2 linked regions of the Caenorhabditis elegans genome follow. The protein of the gene in region 1 interacts with the protein of each later gene in a pairwise test. Each region holds a gene or a part of one and is shown on either strand. Other genes may lie near its edges.

What was found. Proteins that work in one complex are often made in the same cells at the same time.
Region 2: the proteins of efa-6 (region 1) and zyg-8 interact in a two-hybrid assay, tested with the Caenorhabditis elegans proteins (one study listed by BioGRID).

Annotation. Positions count from the first base shown.
Region 1 is NC_003282.8:12,611,686-12,616,616, forward strand, and holds the start of efa-6 (Exchange factor for Arf-6), read right to left. Parts: upstream 3,040-4,931; 5' UTR 3,035-3,039; coding exon 2,885-3,034; intron 2,513-2,884; coding exon 2,365-2,512; intron 1,945-2,364; coding exon 1,705-1,944; intron 268-1,704; coding exon 115-267; intron 1-114. UniProt on the Caenorhabditis elegans protein: Guanine nucleotide exchange factor for arf-6. Involved in response to injury in mechanosensory neurons. Inhibits axon regrowth via microtubule dynamics, possibly by inducing axonal microtubule catastrophes.
Region 2 is NC_003281.10:12,059,856-12,064,723, forward strand, and holds the start of zyg-8 (Serine/threonine-protein kinase zyg-8), read left to right. Parts: upstream 1-1,857; 5' UTR 1,858-1,883; coding exon 1,884-2,070; intron 2,071-3,069; coding exon 3,070-3,976; intron 3,977-4,868. UniProt on the Caenorhabditis elegans protein: Probable kinase. Kinase activity may be involved in positioning of spindle poles in meiosis and mitosis. Plays a role in spindle positioning during asymmetric division of one-cell stage embryos.

The sequences.
Region 1 (4,931 bases):
AAATATTTCCGTAGAAAAGTAATAACATTTTTCGGTAGCTTTTAGTGTAAAATTTGAAAAAAAAAGCACACACAATTTCATTTTTTCTAAAAAAAATCCAGCAAAAAAGGTTACCTCCATTCGATCGAAGATGTGGTGAAAGTGTGGATATTTGTGGTGACGAATTGTACGAATGATGATGATTATCAGTTGGCATTGTGAACATTGCACTACGAAGACTTTTTGCAACGATCTCCTCGTTCGGAGATTTCATGTCGTTTGATACTACTGAACAAAAAAGTTTTCAATGTGAAAAGTGCGAAATTTATGCCATTTTAAATAATATTTAAATTAAATACGTTGATGTGTTCTTGGAAAATGTATTTTATAATTTTTTGAAAAAAATCGGCAGGAAAACTGATTTTTTTCAAAATAAGAGAGCAATATTTTCTAACAGAAATCTAGATTTTTCTTAAATATTCAAATTTCAAAAACTAAATTTATTTTGTTAGCGTTTTTCAGCTTATTTTTCAGCAACTTTTCGTTGGTTAAAATTTAAAATTAAATGTTTATAAAATCTTTAAATTTCTATTTTAAGTTTTCTAGCACTTTATAGCTCGATTTTTTCCATAAAGATCTCAAATTTCAAGCAAAAACCCCAAGTTTCAACCTAAAACCCTCTTAAATGAGTGCTAAACAACCTCTAAACGGATAAAAATGTTAGTGTGCAGTCAAGTGAGAGAACATTCAACACAACAGAAAAACACAGTACTACCGGGTGGCCTGAGGAGGAGGGTGCTAACGCAAATAAAAATGTGTGAATGGAAATTGATAGAAAAAAATGTGGTGGCGGTGGAAAAAGGATAGATAGAGAGACAGAAAACATTCCCTATTATAACTGTGCCGATCGCCTCCGGGAAAGCATTCTAGAAATGAAATTTGTTTCGGGTTTTTCTTCGAATTTTGTGCAATTCGAAGCTATTCTAAAGAGTAGAGGGACTTAAAAGAATTTTCCGATTTTTTGGCTTTCATACTTAAGTAGACTGAAAATGGCTAGAAACGGCCGAACATCATAAGGAGATTTTTCAAAATTTCAGTTTTTTGGGGGCGGAAATTTCCAAAAAAGGGCTAAATATTGCTTAAGTTTAGAATTTCGCAAAACTTTTCAGTGTCAGAGGCAGGGAATCAGTTTTTTTTTCATTTTTTGTATATTTTGGTGATCTAGTTTGTTGATTTAGGTTAGCAATTATTTTTTTAAAAAACACTTTTATTGAAAAAAAAACCATAAATTGGAAAATATATTGTTTGAATTATAAAACCTCAAGTTTTAATCCAAAAATATGGAAAAATCAGTTGTTTCGATTTTAAAACACTTTAATTTGAAAAAAATTTCAATTGTCCGTGTTTTAAGGACTAAAAACTTGGTAAGAAAATTGCAAAACAAATTGCAAACATTCTGATTTATCAGGACAAAAACATGCAATTAGTCATCAAGATCGTGAGCGTTTCTTTTTTTTGAAAAAAATTAGCCATATGTTTTTATCGGTATGTTTTAATTTCTAGAAATTTTATAAAAACAATTTTTCTGTTTAGAAAAAAGGGTTAAAAATCAATGGAAAATCGTAAAAATTGTGAGATTTCTTCTTCTTCTTTTCGAAAACTTTTTGCATCCAATTAAATCCAGATGTTTCATTTTTTTTTCGTTTAAAAATTTCAAAAGCTCACCAATAAATTGTTCTTCATCAACAACCATCACTTCATCATCATTTTCATTTGGTTTCTTCTGATTCTCTTTTTCATCAGTAGTCATCATTACAGTTTCTTCTTCACTTTCCTCTACATCAGTGCTCTCCATTCGTTCAATTGGAGCTGTTTTAAGCATTCGAATAGCTGTTGGTGAAGACTCTTCTGACGTTTTTCGTGCCAAACTACCACGTCTTTCGATTTGGCTTGTTGAAACTGGAACTTTTAGAACATTGGAATTAAAAGATAGAAAATTATGGAAAACAGTTTTTTCTAATTTTTTAGAGCTAATATTCAAGTGATTTCTATAAATTGAGCCGAATATTCCAAATTTTCAGCTTTTTTTTTATAGTTTTCAGAGTTTTCAGAGAATTTTTTCAGAAATTAAATATAAAGTTTTCAGGTAAGCTGTTCTGCTGACACTTGCACCTTTTTTAAGCTTTCAGAAAAATTTTTCACAATTTTTTTTGTATTTTTCGTCGGAACTGGAACTTCGGGCACATTATATATAACTTTTAAGCCAATTTGAGTATAAAATGCTTTTTTTTTTAATTTTGCAAAATTTCAAGCGATTTTTACGGAAATCTCAGCTTTTTTTGGAGAATTTCTCACATTTTTTTCGCAAAAGCCGTAAAGTGTTACCTGGAAGTCTTGACAGTTTCTGGGCCGCCGCTCCGTTTCGATTCATCGATGGAAACGAAACTCCCGCAGAGGCGGTGGCTCTTGACAGCTGATGTGGGTGAATGCTCGATGCAACTGTGGTACCTGGAGGCAGTTGGTCGCCGAGAAGCTGAAAAAAGAAGGGAAAAGGTTAAGAAGAAACACTTTTTTTCACTCAGGAGGGAGGGATGAAAAGATGAGGGCATTTTAAATTTATTGGAAAACCACAACTTTTATGCCTAAAAAATTTTTAAAAAAAATTTTGAAAAGAAATTTCAGTTTGAGGCCTCAAATCGCAGAGCATTATTTCAGAAAAAAAATATATTGAAAAATAGTTTTTTTTTTAATTCTTCAAAAAGGTCTTTGGAACATTTTAATGACCGAGAGCTGGAAAAATGAGAAAAGTTCAACTGTATACATTTTCCAAAAACCAAAATTTTTGCTATTTTTTGGAAGAAAAACATTTGAAATTTTTAATTTTTTCTAAAAATCAAATCCAAACCTTTGCATAAGTGCTCGAAACGTTCCGATTAAGAGAAATGAGCACATCACCGGACATTACAAAAGCCTCGGACTTTTTGACATTCCGGCGAGGGGCTCCATCAATGGTGGCCAGTGCCTCTTCGGCTCCCGACGACGCCACCTTCGCCATCACTCTGAAAACGAGATGATTGTAGAATAAAAAACGTTTGAAAAAGTATAGAAAAGGTGTCAAGAGGTATAATATTTCGATGACGAATTCAACAATGACCATCAGAGTGTTTATATAAACACGTGATGGAGGTGAGTTTATTTTCAAAATATTCACAAGCGGAAGCAACAAAAAAACACTTCAGCACCGTAAATTTATTCGAAAAGTTCCCTTTTGATTTTAGCATTAAAAAATAAAAATTTGGAGGAGAATTTGATTTTTTTATAAGAAATTCACAACTTTTCGGGCTAAAATGCTTAATTTTGGGCCACTTTCGCTAATTTTTTGTGTATTTTTTTTTCAAATTTCCTTATTTTTTAATGTAAATATTTTATAAACTAAAATGGTGTTTATTTAAGTTTTTTAGCATTGAGCATGAATAAGAGAGAAATTGATACAAGATGCTTTGCGAAAAAACACCAAAAATCGAGAATTTTAGATCAAAACTATAAAAAAATAAATGCACACTTCTTCTCACGGAGTACACGAGCTGCGTAAATCGACAGTCTCAAAGATTACGAAGTTTGAAAGTTTGTGCTGACAGTAAAAGATTTTTAGAAATTGCGATAAAATCGCTTTCTGGAAAAGCAAATTTTTCCGAATTATCTAGATTCTTACACTCAATTCGAAAAAGTACAAATCTTTTCAACAAAATCATAAAACTCTGCACAGCTGTTACCACCGGGACGACGTCACACCTCATTCGTCTCCTCCTCCTCCTCTTCCATCACCTCCCTGTTTGCCCATCAGATTGTAGTGTTGTATAATAAAATTCGAGATAGACAGAGAGAGACAGAGAGAGAGAGAGAGAGAGAGAGAGACCTGGTGTGGAACTAAACGTCCATTCCTCCCCGCTGTGCAGAAGACAACAACTGGTCGACTCCCGAAGGTGCGTTTTGAGCAATCTCGCGAAAAGCTGACAGTTGCGCGGAAGGATGGAACACATATTTCCGCCGCGCACACTGATCAGTCAGTTAACAAATATTGTCTCCAGAACGACGCACCCCAGAGAAAGTGATTAGGCGGTAAGGAGGGTTTTCACACCTCACCCCCGTATCATAAAGTTTCTACGGAAGATTAGCGTGATTTGGAGCTGAATTGTATGAAACTAGAAGCTCCAAGAAGGTTCTTGACGTTCCAAAACGTGGGAAGGTCGGAAAAGCGATACTTTGTGGAATTTGGAACGAAAAACTTATTTATGCGAGTTTGTTGCATTAAAGCTATCGAAATTTGCACAGGAATCAGCAATTATAGCGATCAACGATTTTTTCAAAGTTTTCGACAATTTCGATTTCAGAAAAATCGAGCTATACTGAAAACTTTCCAAGATAGATGACGCTAAACCAATTTCGATATAAAGCCAAGCTAAAGCAATTTTTAGCTCTCGTATGTGGTGCGAGGCTTTCCGATTAAGGTTTGATCTACAAATAATGCTGCAATTTTGCCCAAAAAATGTGACTCTTCTCCCGCATTTTTTAAAGATCTACGTAGATCAAACCGAAATGAGCCATCACGTGCTCTCGTCGGCAAAAACGAAAGTACAACGGAACGAGTATTACAACTCGAAGGCGAAGAAGAATCTCCATTGGATAATTGGTCCCTCGCAGAAAGATGAATGGACTTAGAAAACTACGGAGTACGAAACAATTTGGTCTACACCTATTGTTTCAGAATGTTTTCTGTAAAACTAGCGATTTTGTGTAAAATCGAAAGGCGAGGAGACACACAACGAAACAACTGGCAATATAAAACTCGATAAAATTGGCGAGATCCTCTTCTCTTGACCCTAATAGGCTAATCCACTTGATGCCAACACCAACCACGAATGCAAAGTTTTCGATAGAAAATGTCGAACTAA
Region 2 (4,868 bases), on another chromosome or scaffold:
CACACTACCTCACCTTCAGTATCACGGGCTTCTGGCCTTCCTCATTGAATTTTTCGCGCTCCATTGACAATCGCCTGCCGGACAACGCGTGGGAAAGTCGTGTACTCCACACGGACAAATACATTTAGTTTTACAATCGAGCCGCGACGCGACACGCAACGCAACGTAAATCTACCCCAGATTTGGCCTGGCCTAGTTCGGCAAAAAACTCTTCCATTTCAATTTATGGAGGGAAGCCAGAAATCCGTGTAATATTCTTATCACAAACCGCACCTTTTTCGGCGGAGACGCAGGTGGCGCTGCACAAATGAGAAGCTGTTTAATTGGCTCTGTGGTCCCTCCGGATACCCCCTAACTAATCCCTCGTCTATTCCGTCCCCCGGCTCTGCGTTGGCTCGCGCGCGCCCCTCCCGTCAGCCAAATCAACCCACAACAACACCCGTCTGCCCTTTAGCTCTTTCGAATGAGAGGAAAACGAGAAGCAGCTCACTGCTCACTGCTCTCTGTGTGCACGCCTAGTTAATTCCCACATTCGACATTCCATGCATTTTGGAGACCAATGCTCGCGGACAGCTCATTTTGGACAATGATTCGAATTGTCAGCTAGTCATAGCATAGTAAAATTATCTCCTTTTTTTTGGTGTCACGTGGCGTCTCATTTCGGTTTGATCTACCTAGATCTACAAAAAATGCGGCAGAGTTCTCAACTGATTTCGCATGGTTAAGAACGTGCTGACGTCACATTTCTTTGGGCGAAAAATTCCCGCATTTTTTGTAGATCAATCCGTTATGGGACAGCCTGATGGAAATTTTGCTTCAAAAATCTTTAAAAAATCGAAAAAAAAAATTTCTCAGAAAATTTGAATTTCCCGCCAAAATTATTTTAAGAGAAAATTTGAATCCTCGCCAAAACAAATTCGAAAAAATAAAAAAAAATTTCCCGCCAAATTTTTTTTTCGGAAAATTTGAATTTCCCGCCAAAATAGATATTTTCCGAAAATTTGAATTTCCCGCCAAAAAAAAATTAAAAAAATTTTGAATTTCCCGCCTAAATAGGTTTTTTTTCTCGAAAAAAAATTGAATTTTCCGACGAAATAGTTGTTTCACAGAAAATTTGAATCTCCCGCCAAAATAGATATTTTCTCCGAAAATTTGAATTCCCGCCAAAAAATTCTAAAATTTTTAAATTTCCCGCCAAATTTTTTTTCGGAAAATTTGAATCCCCGACAAAAATTTTTTTTCCCAGAAAACTTTAATTTTGCTCAGAAAATCTCAAAAAAATTTGAATTTTCCACTTTTTTTTCAGAAAAAAAAATTGTTTTTCTAAAATAACAAAAAAAAAGATTAATTCCCGTCTATAGCACTTGCACCATACCCGATTGGAATTGTCCTCCTCGATTTTTAGTTCATTTTCTGTCCAATCTTTTGATTTTGCATTCCTTTCTCTTTTTCATATCCAAGGCCCATTCCGGTTTGATCTACAAAAAATGCGGGAGAAAAGACACAAATTTCTCAATTGATTTCGCATGGTTAAGAACGTGCTGACGTCACATTTTTTGGGCCAAAAATTCCCGCATTTTTGGTAGATCAAACCGTAATGGGACGGCCTGTTGCCACGTGGTATATCCCCACGTGGTGTCAGGCAGTCTCATTGCGGTTTGATCTACAAAAAATGCGGGAACTTTCCCCCAGGAAAATGTGACGTCAGTACACTCTCATTCGATGCTAAATCAGCTGAGAAATCTGCGTCTCATCTCCCGCATTTTTGGTAGATCAAACCGTAATGGGACGGCCTGACACCGCTCCGTCCTCCTCTCGTGGTTGCGCCTAACTATCGCTAATTTGGTGTTTTTTTTCGGTGTTAGACTATCTCTACTCGAACGATGCCACAAACGTCGGCGTGGCAGCTCAACGACACAACTGCTAGACCACCACCACCACCACCACCACCTGGATCTGAAGCTGGAGGATCGGATGGAGCATCTATGAATGGAGCCAACACATTGCCACGTGTATCGAAGAGGGTTTCCGCTGCTGGAAAAACGTCGAATATTCCACGATTCAAACGACGTAAGAATTGAGTGTTTGGCTTGAATTTCCCCGTTGGTGGCTTGCTTGCTTCAGCTTACGGGATATGGTTTTTTTTAATGATGAATCCGTGAATTTTGCAACAAAAAAGCAGCGTCGCACAGAAAAAGAGGCGGAGCGTAATTTTGCAACCCTGCGGCACGGTTTTTTCTCCTTTTTTTCTGAATTTTTTTTTTCGATTAATTTCATTTTTTTTACAACCATGAAATATCCTCACAATCTAATAATAAGTAAATTGGGTAATACTTTCATTCGAAAAAAGACAAATAAAAAATAGAGAAAAAACCGTGCCGCAAGGTTGCGAAATTACGAAATTACACTCCGCCTCTTTTTCGGTGCGATGCTGCTTTTTTGCAAAATTCACGGATAGATTGTTTAATTTCAATAGTACTGAGTTGAAAACTTGAAAAAAGAGACATTTTTATTTGTAAAAAGCTATTAAAAAATGATTAATACCGTCAGACTGTTGAAAACGATTTTTCCGGCAAATCGACAAATTGCCGGATTTGCCGGAAAAAAATGGCCCCTAAATTTTCCGGCAAATCGGAAAGTTGCCGGATTTTAAATTTTCCGCAAATTGGCCGATTTGCCGGAAAAAGCGGCCCCTAAAATTTTCGATTTTTCTATTTTCCGAAATTCAGAAAATTACCCATAAGATATGATTTTTTAAAAATCTAATTTTGTTTATATATTCATGATAAAGAACATCTAAAAATAAGAACAATGATCAAAGTTTAAGCGAATTTTTAAAAAATCGAAAAAATTTCGAAATATCGATTTTTCGATTTTCAAAAATCGAAAAAACCGACACCCTTGATCGTTATCACTATTCGAAAATAATTGAATCTAAAGAATCGAGATCCTGTAAATCTACACTACAGTAGTCATATAAAGAATTACTGTAGTTTTCTTTTCGCTACGAGATATTTTGCGCGTTAAATATTTTTTTGTGTTCCCGTGTAATATAATCCTAATTTCCAGCCCATCTCCCTCATTCGACACGTCCTCTCTCCGCAGTCTTGACATCATCATCATCTCCAGTTGTTCATAGAAAGATCAGTCCATCATCATCTGCTCCATCAACATCCTCCGCACATCGTCGATTCTCGCATCTTCCTCAACAACACTTCCACCATCATATTCATCACAATCAGACCGCAGTGATCAGTGAAGAAACACTGACAACTCCACGAGCATCGACTCTTAATCTCAATCAGACAAGCGTCTTCCCAACGGCAATTTCCCAGGGAAGCATGCCGAATAGTGGCACGAACACTGCGGAAGCGTCAATGACGTCATCCGTATGTGCCATGGAAACCGAGGGAACGAATGGAGATGAGCTCGCAGAGTCCAGGGATATGGTCTCAGAAATGCAGCGGAGGTGTCGAATCGGGCCATCCGGGTATCCGCATTTACTGAAAGCCAAGCGACTCCGGTTCTATAGAAATGGGGATCAATATTTCAAAGGGATTCAGTATGCTTTACAAAGTGACCGGGTGAAGAGTATGCAACCACTTATGGAAGATTTGATGAAAACTGTAATCTGTGACTCGACGGCTCTTCCACACGGAATCCGTCACATTTTCACGATCGACGGCGCTCAACGCATCACTTCCGTAGATCAATTCGAAGACGGCGGTGGTTATGTGTGTTCGAGTACCGACGCTTTCAAACCGGTCGATTATTCGAGAGCCGCCGAGCCAAGTTGGCGTCTGACACTTGCCAATCGATACAATCGACACTTGGAGACGAAGAAGCTGGCGTTGAGTGTCGTAGAGCCGTGTCATGAGAATACGGATTTCGTGTTTCCACGAATTATCAAGGTTATTCGGAATGGGGTGAAGCCAAGGCGGATTAGTAGGCATTTGTTGAACAAGAAGACGGCGAGGTGAGAGCAAAAAATCGCCCCGACCAATCAGCGATTCGCTCCGCCGCCCACTTTCCAACCAATCAGGCGACGTGGGTGGAGTTCGAAGGTGTTGATTGGTCGGGTGAAGTCTCATTTTGAAGGGAATTCAAAAATGATTGTTTTTTTCGCGTTTTTCCTATTTTCCTAAGGAAAAAAAAATTATTTTTCAACCAAAAAAAGTGGCGGCGATTCAAAATTTTGAATGAAAAAGACAAAAAATTCAAAAAAAAAATATGCGAAAGAACGAAAAATTCGAATTTTTCTGCGACCAATCAGCAATTCGCTCCGCCCATTTTTCGCCCAATCAGGTGAGGTGGGCGGAGTTTGAAGATGCCTAAACGAGAACTCCCGCCCACTTCTTCAGATTGGTTCAAAAGTGGGCGGAGCTAATCGCTGATTGGTCGCAGATTTTTTTTGAATTTTTTGTCTTTTTTCTTAAAAATGTTGAACCGTCGCAACTTACAAAAAAAAAATTTTTTTTCATTACGAAAATAGGAAAAAAGCGAAAAAAACAATCAATTTTGAATTCCCTCCAAAATGAAACTTTACCCGACCAATCAGCGCCTTCGAAACCCCCCCCCCCCCCCCCCCCCCACTTCATCTGATTGGTTGAAAAATGGGCGGAGCAAATCGCTGATTGGTCGCAGTGGGAATTTGTCTAAAATTGGAAAAAATCGGTGTTTTTTGTTTTTTTTTCGAATTTTTTCCCAAAAAAAACACAAAAACCCAATTTACACTGCGACCAATCAGCGATTAGCTCCGCCCACTTTCCAACCAATCAGATGGAGTGGGCGGAGTTCGAAGGCGCTGATTGGTTGGTGAAAATTCGGTTATATTCCCTCCAAAAAGAGAACTCCCCGCCCACTTCATC